Linked DNA regions of Arabidopsis thaliana. The protein of the gene in region 2 interacts with the protein of the main gene of each other region in a pairwise test. Each region holds a gene or a part of one and is shown on either strand. Other genes may lie near its edges.

The links. Proteins that work in one complex are often made in the same cells at the same time.
Region 1: the proteins of SEP1 (region 2) and AT3G10030 interact in a two-hybrid assay, tested with the Arabidopsis thaliana proteins (one large-scale study listed by BioGRID).

Annotation. Positions count from the first base shown.
Region 1 is NC_003074.8:3,091,281-3,096,990, reverse strand, and holds AT3G10030 (aspartate/glutamate/uridylate kinase family protein), read left to right. Parts: upstream 1-1,965; 5' UTR 1,966-2,159; coding exon 2,160-2,989; intron 2,990-3,076; coding exon 3,077-3,221; intron 3,222-3,306; coding exon 3,307-3,360; intron 3,361-3,434; coding exon 3,435-3,526; intron 3,527-3,845; coding exon 3,846-4,081; intron 4,082-4,167; coding exon 4,168-4,338; coding exon of another isoform or gene 4,339-4,373; exon of another isoform or gene 4,374-4,613; coding exon 4,614-4,714; 3' UTR 4,715-4,975; downstream 4,976-5,710. Other genes in the region: AT3G10040 (sequence-specific DNA binding transcription factor), read left to right, coding at 1-411; AT3G10020 (plant/protein), read left to right, coding at 5,317-5,710.
Region 2 is NC_003076.8:5,150,427-5,156,088, reverse strand, and holds SEP1 (K-box region and MADS-box transcription factor family protein), read left to right. Parts: upstream 1-1,835; 5' UTR 1,836-2,321; coding exon 2,322-2,506; intron 2,507-3,357; coding exon 3,358-3,439; intron 3,440-3,529; coding exon 3,530-3,591; intron 3,592-3,680; coding exon 3,681-3,780; intron 3,781-3,870; coding exon 3,871-3,954; intron 3,955-4,091; coding exon 4,092-4,240; intron 4,241-4,368; coding exon 4,369-4,495; 3' UTR 4,496-4,755; downstream 4,756-5,662. Other genes in the region: AT5G15790 (RING/U-box superfamily protein), read right to left, coding at 5,318-5,547, 5,635-5,662. UniProt on the Arabidopsis thaliana protein: Probable transcription factor. Functions with SEPALLATA2/AGL4 and SEPALLATA3/AGL9 to ensure proper development of petals, stamens and carpels, and to prevent the indeterminate growth of the flower meristem.

The DNA of each region.
Region 1 (5,710 bases), on a different chromosome or scaffold from region 2:
ATGGCGGAGGATTCGGAGTCAGAGATGGAGGAATCAGAGGAAGAAGAGACGAGGAAGAAGCGGAGGATATCGACGGCGGTGAAGAGGTTGAGGGAAGAAGCGGCAAGTGTAGTGGAAGATGTTGGGAAGAGTGTGTGGGAGAAGAAAGAGTGGATAAGGAGAAAGATGTTGGAGATTGAGGAGAAGAAGATTGGGTATGAGTGGGAAGGAGTGGAGATGGAGAAGCAGAGAGTGAAGTGGATGAGATATAGGAGCAAGAAAGAGAGAGAGATGGAGAAGGCTAAGCTTGACAATCAGAGACGGAGGCTTGAGACGGAGAGGATGATTCTCATGTTACGGCGGAGTGAAATTGAGTTGAATGAGTTACAGTCTTCGGGTACACGGGTTGACCCGAGTTCCGCTAAGGGGTGATGCTGATTAGTATTTAGGATTAGAGATTTTTTACAACTTTGTAGTTTCTAATGTTAGGATTCTCACGTTTTAGTGACATTAGGCAGTAAATTAAATCTTAAAAGTATGTACTATTGTAGACAAAAGGTCTTTAATCAGCAAATTGATTAAGCATGTCTACTTTTGTAGTTTCAATTTTCGAATAAGGATTCTCTCACGCTGTCAATATTTAAGTGGTTAATTGGTAAAAGTGAGAAGAAATTAATCAATCGTACAAAGGTTAACACACATACTAAGGGAAAAAAAAAATGACACACCCGGTGGGACTCGAACCCACAATCGTTTGATTAGAAGTCAAACGCCTTATCCATTAGGCCACGGGTGCTCTGCTTGCACTAGAGTATTGAGAAAACATTAAGAAACATAATTACAATCAGTAAAACTACCCACGGCCCACGGGCGATCCTCGTTTATTTAAAGAATATATGTTTCTCTATTTAATAATTTACCCTTCAAAGCATCACAATGGAGAGTTTTTCTTCTATTTTTAACCAACTAGAGTTTTGTGTACAAGTAGTTATTAAAGATATAATTCAAGAACTGTTATGATATTTGTAAGAAGAAGAGATTTTCTATTATAAATACTTGAGTGAAAGTTTAGGTAGGTTACACAATGTCAATAATGTGACAAAGATTATTTGAGATGATAGAACACAAAAAAATATCATACCATACCACTATATTCCATTTCCATCTAGTGTTTGAGCAGATATTCTGCTTTGTACATGTTTCTTGCACCTACAATAAGATTCAAAAGTTTAATTAGATACCATTGGAACTATAGCGATAGTTGCAGTTTTCTCTAAAGTTTTCCTATAACATATTTTCGGACATATGGTAGGAGCATCTGGAAGATTATGAGGATCAACAAATAGCGGAAAACAAATTACTGTATACACATTGCTTTCAAAAACCAAACAATCTTCGTCAAATGAATTTTGTAACTTTTGCTGAATATGATACCAAGTGGAGTCCAATGACAAACAATCTCCGGTATGAATTTAGTGTCGTACGTGAAGTATATATAAGTTACAAATCATGTCTTTAGAACAAATGATGGAAAGTGATATATCATATATACAGTGAGACACGATGCGATCAATCAAACGACCAAATTAAAAAAAAAAATTAGTAACATAATTATGACTCGTTGTTATATCTAAAAATGACAGGAAAACATTGGACTAAACCATTTTTTTCAGTTTTAATTGTTGTAACACCTGTTTCCAACGTTTTATATTGATAGTATTAATTATTTTCTTCGTTCACCCGTTACATCAATTGAAAATTGAATTGTTATCATCAAAGGTTTTATAATTTTATAAATTTTAATCTTACAAAGACAAAATCATTATGGGAATATATATCTGTGAAAGAATTTTGATAATATGTATTTTGTTGGAAAGCTGAAAAATATGAGGTAACGTAGGTTATTGACTGTAACGGAAGCGAATTTAACTATGTTTCGGTTTGGATTAACCAAAACCGAATAGAATAACGCAATTTAACTTTGGTTCGGTTTGGTTTTTGTGAATTAACTTTTTTTTATTCCACCCTTACCACTTGCCTAACGGAGCCGTTGTGACGGCCCATCCACTTTTGCGCTAGTTCACGCCTTGACGCCTTCTCCTTCCGTTTCTTCAGCCTCTCGCCGCTAATTAACGCCGTCTCTGGTTGCTACCACCGCCGTAACCCTAACGGCATTTTTAATGGCGTCGTGTGATGACGATTTCTCTCTACTTGGAGACGATCAGTCAAACCCTAATCAACATCACCACCACCACCAAGTTCTTCATCACACGCCCTACGCTCCTAGACGATTCAACCCGAAACCATCGAATCAGATCCTTTTACCGCATCACCAGAGGAACGGCGACGAGGACGACGAGAACGATGTCGTTGTAGAAGCGTCTTCTGCTTTCCACGGTCACGGTGTTAATCCTTTCACGGCGGACGAAAATTCGAATCCGTATGATGATAATAACGCAGCTGTAGACGAAGACGAAGACGAAGATCTCGGTGCCAACAGATCTAGAATCGGAGGTGTTCGTGTTGAGAAGAGGCAGAGTCAGGAGGAGCTAAGTGACGGAGGAACAACAAATGGCGGTGAGATTACTCCCTACGGTAGCTTCAAGAGACCGAGGACTTCGTCTTCCTCAGCTGGTGAGTATAGGAAGGATAGAGAAGAGTGGAGTGATGCGGCGATTGCGTGTTTGTTAGATGCGTATTCGGATAAGTTCACACAGCTTAATCGAGGGAATCTCCGGGGAAGAGATTGGGAAGAGGTTGCTTCATCGGTGAGTGAGAGGTGTGAAAAGCTGAGTAAGAGTGTAGAACAGTGTAAGAACAAGATTGATAATCTCAAGAAGAGGTATAAGCTTGAAAGGCATAGAATGAGCAGTGGTGGAACAGCAGCTAGTCACTGGCCTTGGTTTAAGAAGATGGAAGATATTGTGGGCAATTCATTAGCCTTGAAAGGCGCGTCTGATGAAGATAGAAGCGGAAGCTCAATGGGGAATACTGTGAAGCCAGCTAGAAGGTAATGCAGAAACGATCACTAGCAACTCTTTTGTATTTTGTGCTCTTGTGAAAGTGAAAGTTTTTGGTTTTGTATTTCTTGTTTCAGGTATCCTCTGGTAACATATAACCCAGGAGTTCAGATTAATAACGTCAAATCAAAGGCTACATCAAACCCTAGATGGCGAAGAGTGGTTCTAAAAATCAGTGGTGCAGCTCTTGCCTGCACCGGTCCTAATAACATTGATCCAAAGGTTTCCTCCAGAATGTGTAATCTTTTGTTGATTCATGCATTTTCTCTATCCGACCTCAGCATCAAATTCTCTTTTGATTATTTAGGTAATCAATCTGATTGCAAGAGAAGTTGCAATGGCTTGTCGTCTTGGTGTAGAGGTAACACTTAGTTCTAGATTGTTAGCGTTTTATCCTTTTTCAGTTAAATGGTATTCATAGTTTGGTTCTTCCAGGTAGCGATAGTTGTTGGGAGTCGGAACTTTTTTTGTGGCAGCACATGGGTAACTGCCACTGGTTTGGATAGAACCACTGCATATCATATAAGGTTGGTCAAAATATTTCAGTTGATAAAATGTTTGAATTGTGCTTTGTATAAAGCATGATGGCTGTAGTATGATAATCGAACTGGCTGGTGCAAACACTGTATGAGAATTTTATCTGCTCATGATGAGTTATATTTCCATATTTGATTTATCGTGCTCTGAAGTTCTCACAGATGATTTTTTTTTTCATCATTTCAAATGGTCTCACATGTCATCTTTGCCAAAACATCCATGCACTTAGCAACAAAATAGTATTGCCTTCTATGTTCTGTTTTGCTGGAGATAGGTTGTTCAGCTCACCGAATTTCTGTTATGTAACAGTATGATGGCGTCTGTGATGAACTCTGCTTTACTTCAATCGTCCCTGGAGAAAATAGGGGTGCAGGCACGGTTACAAACTGCAATATCGGTTCAGGGTGTCGGGGAGCCTTACAATCGTCAACGAGCCACCCGGCATCTAGATAAGGGAAGAGTGGTAATATTTGGTGGCATCGGTGCCACGCTTGGAAATCCACTTTTATCATCTGATGCATCTGCAGCCCTTCGAGCTATAGACAGTACAACTCTCTTACTTCCTCTTAGTGTTGTTCTCTTTCCATTAGTAACTGGTCCTAAGTGGTAACCTAAGATCTCTTGTTATCAGTCAATGCGGAGGCAGTGGTGAAAGGAACAAACGTTGATGGTGTTTATGACTGTCATTCACAAGATAGTAACGTGACATTTGAGCACATATCATTTCAAGATTTGGCTTCTAGAGGTCTTACGTCAATGGATACAATGGCCCTTAACTTTTGTGAAGAGAACAGCATTCCAGGTCGAGATTCTTCTTCTCTCTCTTATCATGTTTAGCTAATCCGTTTTAGATTACTTAGATCTGGCTGTGAGATAAATGGTTAAACTTAGTGACCTAGACAGAATTATACAAATGGTTTACTCGAGATGGGACCTCTAGAATCCTGATTTCCATCAGTGGATAATAGATCAATACCCTTATACTTGTCCCGCAATGAGTGCTTAGCACCTGATGATAGAATCGAACGTTGAATGTAAATGACCTGATTCCTTGTCCTCTGGATTAAAAAAAAACAGTTGTGGTATTTAACTTTCTGGAAGCTGGGAACATCACAAAAGCTTTGTGCGGAGAACAAGTGGGTACTTTGATCGATAGAAGCGGAAGGGGCGTGAGTTAGTAGTATATGTGTGAATTCATAACACTTTGTAAACACGTTGTTTTTTCCGTAAGTAATTATATTTCATAGATGAGTTGACAAGAAAAAGGAGAGTTGCTCCATTCACAAGTGAAGACGTTGTAATATTGAAGATGTTGACACGTTTGAGAGATTTTCTTTCTCCATCTTCGTTGACTGACTTCTTCTTTCTGAATGATTGTATTTACGATTTTGTTTGTAATGCTTTAATACTATTAGAGCAAATGTCAAAATCTATTGCTGAGTATCAAAATAATCCGATCATGATGTGAACAAACATGTAATGTATGGGGACCGAACAGTATAAAAATACACAAAGGCCCAATTAGAGTAACACCCTCGAATGGATAATTACTTGACAGACTCAAATAAAAAAATGAGAAGTTTCCGTAAGCTACGAGAAAGACAAGGTAGTCGCTAGAAACTTCAATTCATCAGATATTTTTGTCCCCTATCTTCTTATCCCCTCACGCACCTCTTACACACACTCTTATATAAAGAAAACACTCTTTGCTCATTCTAATTAAACGCAAACGTACAAGTAGTGAAGTATCACGACTTTGATTTATTTCTGTATATCTAAGATGCAGGCGGTATCAGTTGATGAAACCAAAAACACGGTGGTGCTACGGGCGGAGCACAAGAATGAAGAAGGCCGGAAATCTGTTGATAAGTTCGAAGTGAAGACACGTAATCCGGAGACGATCAAGAGCGTTGAGCGGAAGCTTATGGAGAAAGGTGTTCAACGGATGGATCGTCATCCTTCCGATGGGATTCCTCTCAGGCGACCACCATCGAAGTCAGGTCACGGCGGGAAGTACACGTGGGAAGGACCTGATCGGATGGAGGATTACGAGATGCAGCCGGATCCACCGGCGATGGATGAAGGAGATCCTAATTACGACGAGGAACAGGTGAAGAAGAGTGGTGATGACGTGGCGGTTGAGCTTGTGAAAGGAGAGGTTGAGGTGGCTAAGG
Region 2 (5,662 bases):
TCAATTATGAAAATGCCATTTTTTGGGATGGCATTTGTGGATTTTGCCCTTTTTTTAATAGTTTGTGAATTTTGCCATTTTTCAGGTTACGTGAATGAATATACGTTTTATTCATTATGTTTGGGTTTACTCGGTTGTGGTTGTTCTTAGGGTTTAGTATTTTGTGTAAACTACGTATTTTTACCAAAAAAAGTCCGAAATCCATATATTTTTAAATCTTAGAAAATGGCTTATCCGTAAGATTTTAGTAAAAATGGCAATTTCAAAAGATCTCTATAAAAAATGGCAAAATCAACAATAATCCCTTGTCTATATGGTGGTATTTCTGCTAAAAGTGACTTATGGGTAGATTTTTTAGCTTCATAGATTCTTTGTCGAAAAAAAATTACTTTGTACATTTTAGTGGAGTTATTTAAATTTCCCAATTGAACAAAACCATATATTGATGAAATTCGCAAATGCAATCCAAAAATAAATATGTTCCACTCTTTTGGTTAGCTTTTAACTAAAGATGCGTTTTACTTTATGTAAGTGGTTGATCTTTTGGCAATGGGGGACAATGACTATACAATCTAAGAGATCATTTTAACGAATATCATTCATATTTCATCCTCTTCTTCAAATTTCAGTTTCACTAATTAACCACGTTTCAATTGTAGTGTATCGCGAGCTGTAAATATTATCTAATTTATGTTACATAATCATAACTGTAATCTTTATTAGACAAAAACATATATACCTCACTGCAAACACCTTCAAACATGGATAACTTGATTTAGGCATACAAATATTATTTCTCATTTATTTGATATGACCTATATTATGTGGCTATTTTATCAGTTTTAGTGTTTTTTATGATAATTGAACCACTTAAATGTTTATCTCATTTTTCAATTTATTTTAAACTGAATTAAAAAGTAAGAAAGTATGATCCAATAAGGCATCGACACATGGAAACCCATTTTAAGGTAGAAGATGCTTTTCTGCGGCTTCTGAAAACAACTAGAAAATGATATGATACGTTGCTTTCATTTATTGTAAGTATTATTTAGTTTTAATTCACGCGCTTCATATCCAGCTGCAAGACTACTACAACTTGCAATTATGAGACTCTCGTTAGAAAATTACCAGGTATAATTTAAAAACAAAAAGAACTAGAATATATTGGCAATTATTTGAAGTAAGAAAATATGAGATTCTTGACCGAGTTGTTAAACTATCAAACCCAAAAGTTTTGGTTAAAAAATAAGCTAGTACTATGTACATATGTTTTATGTTGAAAATATATTAAACTGTATGTAAGAGGGAGTGTACTTTCATTTTAGATATACATTTCCAGCTAGTACGAGGTCTCTATATATAAACTTTCTTAATATCGCTAAACAAATTTTACTTTCAAGTTTGTAATGTGATAAGTGAAAGACCGTATATACATACACATGTTAATCAACTGATAACCTTTGTGCCTCGTGTGTCTAGTTACTAGTCAACCATCAAACGTGCATGATGCTGTTTTTCTTAGAGTACTATTGTTGTGTTATATATAACTAAACATAAACAATTTGCTATTATGATATAAACATAGAATTTTCAAGCAATGATATGTTTAGATGTTTTGTATAAATATTCCATAAATAGTAGACACCCATATATACACAAACATGAATTCTACCTGAGGAGAAACACATAGATGTTCAAATTAAATAATAACCCTATAATGAAAACTCTAAAGTAAGTAATACGAAATAAAAATTTATCCTTTAAATAACATATAAACATATATATACAAGTTTAATTGGTAATTGTATCACAAGAGCCAATTATTTGGTGACTGTATCACACGTGCTTAAAGAGAGCGTGGGAATGAAAGTAAAGAAGAATAAAGAAGCAGAGAGATGGGCTAGAAATGAGAAAACACACCAAACCCTAACCTCACCCTCACACATTTCTTATCTTTTGCTCTCAATAGATTCCATTGATTCAAAACAAAATTTTCATTAAGATTTCACAACCTCCACACACTTCCAAACACAATTAAAGAGAGGAAAAAGAATCAATAACCCTATAAATAAAAAATCAGACAAACAGAAGTTTCCTCTTCTTCTTCCTTAAGCTAGTACCTTTTGTTCTTGAAATTAGGGTTAATTTCTTTTTTCCAAATACCATCAATTCTCCAGACCATAAAAACTCAAAAAGATCAGATCTTTCCTCTGAAAAAGAGATACCCAACTTATGTTTTTGTGTGTCTGTATATAGATAAACATTACATACCCATATTTGTGTATAGACATAAAAAGTGGAAATTAAGGTAACAAAAAGAAATGGGAAGAGGAAGAGTAGAGCTGAAGAGGATAGAGAACAAAATCAACAGACAAGTAACGTTTGCAAAGCGTAGGAACGGTTTGTTGAAGAAAGCTTATGAATTGTCTGTTCTCTGTGATGCTGAAGTTGCTCTCATCATCTTCTCCAACCGTGGAAAGCTCTATGAGTTTTGCAGCTCCTCAAAGTAAACAACTCTCTCACTCTTTATCAGTTTCTTGATTGAGTTTTTGCTAGATCTGAGCTTAGATCTTTGTCTCAAGGACTTGTTATATATAGATCACACGATCTTGATTTCTACGAAGTTGAGTTAATTAGATTTCTTGATTTCATTTTCTAGGGTTTTTTTCCAATTCTTGAAATTTAAGATCTGGTTTTTTTGTTGTCAATGATTTAGAACTGTGAATTTTGTAATCGAATAGATTCCAAATCCTGATATGCAATCTGAAAAGTTTTATATAATTAATATATGTCTGTGTGATTGGAAACTTAAAAGTTGTTCACAGATTTCTATGAAAATTACAAGTATCCAACGTAGAATGATAATATATGGTTACATGCATTAACCATTTGTTAGTTCATCATACTTTATGGTGGTTAAAACTTCAAACGCGTGTATATCTGTGAAGGCTTTGATTGTTTGTTTTTTCTTAAAAACAATGTTTAATAGATTTTTAATTATATGTTAAAATAGTTTTGCTTACATGCATTCAAGAAAATATAGCGATTAATTCCTTTTTTCAAATCACAATTTGTGAATCAAACGAAAACGTAAGATATTGCTTGCAAATGATAGGATTGAACTATTGATATTTGTAAATATAAATACGAAACTTTACGTTTGAAAGTTGAAACAATCAAATCCAAATCAACTCGTATATAATCAGATAAATAATGGAAACAATCTTCAATTTTGATGGAAGAATACTTTAAAACTTGAAGAGCTTTTTTTTTATGGTGATTTATAGGTTTAGATCTCCAAAGTCAAGTATGATCTTTTTAATAAACTCTTATTCTCTCTTTTTGAGTTATTTTCAGCATGCTCAAGACACTTGATCGGTACCAGAAATGCAGCTATGGATCCATTGAAGTCAACAACAAACCTGCCAAAGAACTTGAGGTGTTCTTAATTCAAATACTATTTTAGATTCCTATCATATCATTTCAAGAAAGATCTTTTTTAAAAGTTTGTTTTCGTGAAATATTTCAGAACAGCTACAGAGAATATCTGAAGCTTAAGGGTAGATATGAGAACCTTCAACGTCAACAGAGGTACATATCTGTCTACCTCCGTATATTTACTCAATTCTGTATCCATGTAGATTCATATTTGTAGGTGTGTGTGGCTTTTGTTGGTGCAGAAATCTTCTTGGGGAGGATTTAGGACCTTTGAATTCAAAGGAGTTAGAGCAGCTTGAGCGTCAACTGGACGGCTCTCTCAAGCAAGTTCGGTCCATCAAGGTATCTTTATACATGGAATCAATGATTCAAATGAGATTAATTTGTGTTGTTTAATTATAACTACTATGGTGGTATGATGATTGTTTGCAGACACAGTACATGCTTGACCAGCTCTCGGATCTTCAAAATAAAGAGCAAATGTTGCTTGAAACCAATAGAGCTTTGGCAATGAAGGTATAATTACAGAATAAATGCATTTGGTGCCTTGCGATCAATCTCTTTCACAGAGTTTAAGTTTCTAAACATTTTTGGAAACATCTCTAGTTTTCTTGTTTCTGATTATAGTCTTTTGGTGAAATGTAAATGTTTAGCTGGATGATATGATTGGTGTGAGAAGTCATCATATGGGAGGAGGAGGAGGATGGGAAGGTGGTGAACAGAATGTTACCTACGCGCATCATCAAGCTCAGTCTCAGGGACTATACCAGCCTCTTGAATGCAATCCAACTCTGCAAATGGGGTAAATCCTTTGCCTTAAACAATCATCTGCAAATCAGCTTGTGTACTTCACTACTAAGATTGTACTTATATAAGGTTCTTTAGTTACTTGGTGTAAAGAGGATCATCAATGTGTGTGAACCTTTTAAGTTGCTGTTTTGGTGATGATGATGATGATGACAGGTATGATAATCCGGTATGCTCAGAGCAAATAACTGCGACAACCCAAGCTCAGGCGCAGCAGGGAAACGGTTACATCCCGGGGTGGATGCTCTGAGAGTCATGTGCTGTGTTAAAGCTCACCAACAAAAGATCTTTTATATATATAAAAGTATAGACACAAGACTTTGGATTTGTAGACATAAGTGGCTATATATAATGGTCCTGAGGATCTTCAAGACATTTGTATCTTTTGGGAATCCTTGCTTATATTAAGAATTCAAATGTGTGGAACTTGTTTTAACACTGAACCATGACACTGGTTTATTATCATGTAATGAGAAACATTTGGGTTACAATGTGATCTCTCCTTGACCCAAATACCCAATGTAAACTATATGCCAAAATACAAGCATCACATATATATTCATAAATTCATAAAAGGTTAAAAGTAATCATACAAAATGATGTAAAAAGTTTCATGCCTTGAACAAAACACTGCGCCAAAGGCAAATCCTAAGAAACATGTCAGATTCCTGTGTGCATCTGTTCTGCTGCTGCTGTTGTTTTCTCTCAAGAGGGTTTCCTCAGAACTCCATAAGCCAAACGTGCAGAGAGACGTTTCCTCATTTCCCCATCATATACAATATCATATATTGTTAAAAAATATATTCACATCTCTCTGCTGCCTTGTCAATCTCCCCAGGTCCGGTCTAGGCAGTACAAGACAGGATCAATGGCAACAAGTTACGGTGTTTCGTGGAACTCCATCACCTGCAAATGAGACGAATTCACAGCAGAGAAAAAAATATTCTTTAGTCAACATGAATGAGAAATAATTCAAATGTTCTGAGTTTCAGGAAGAATGATTAGCCATATTTGTCATAGACAAGACAAGTAAAGATTTTACGCATGTGCTTCTAGGGTTGTTGTACATCTTTCATTCTATTGATCTCTGGATCACTCGTCTATTTACGCGTGATGGTGTCTGAGTCTGACTCTGAAACACTAGTAAATGAGAAGCCGAAAACTGGCTTGGAAGAACATGAAAAGTGTTTACCTTTCCACAAACAGGGCAGTTTTCACTTCTCTCCATCCATTCATAAATGCAACTGAGGTGGAAATGGTGAGAACACTTTGTAACAATCTTCGGGTTCTCTGATATGTATTCTACAAAACACACGAAATAATCTGATACTAAGCTTCTTTGAAATGCATTGATCCAAGAAAAAGAAAAAAAAAGATGAAAATGAATACCTTCAAGACACGTTGGACAGACATCTTC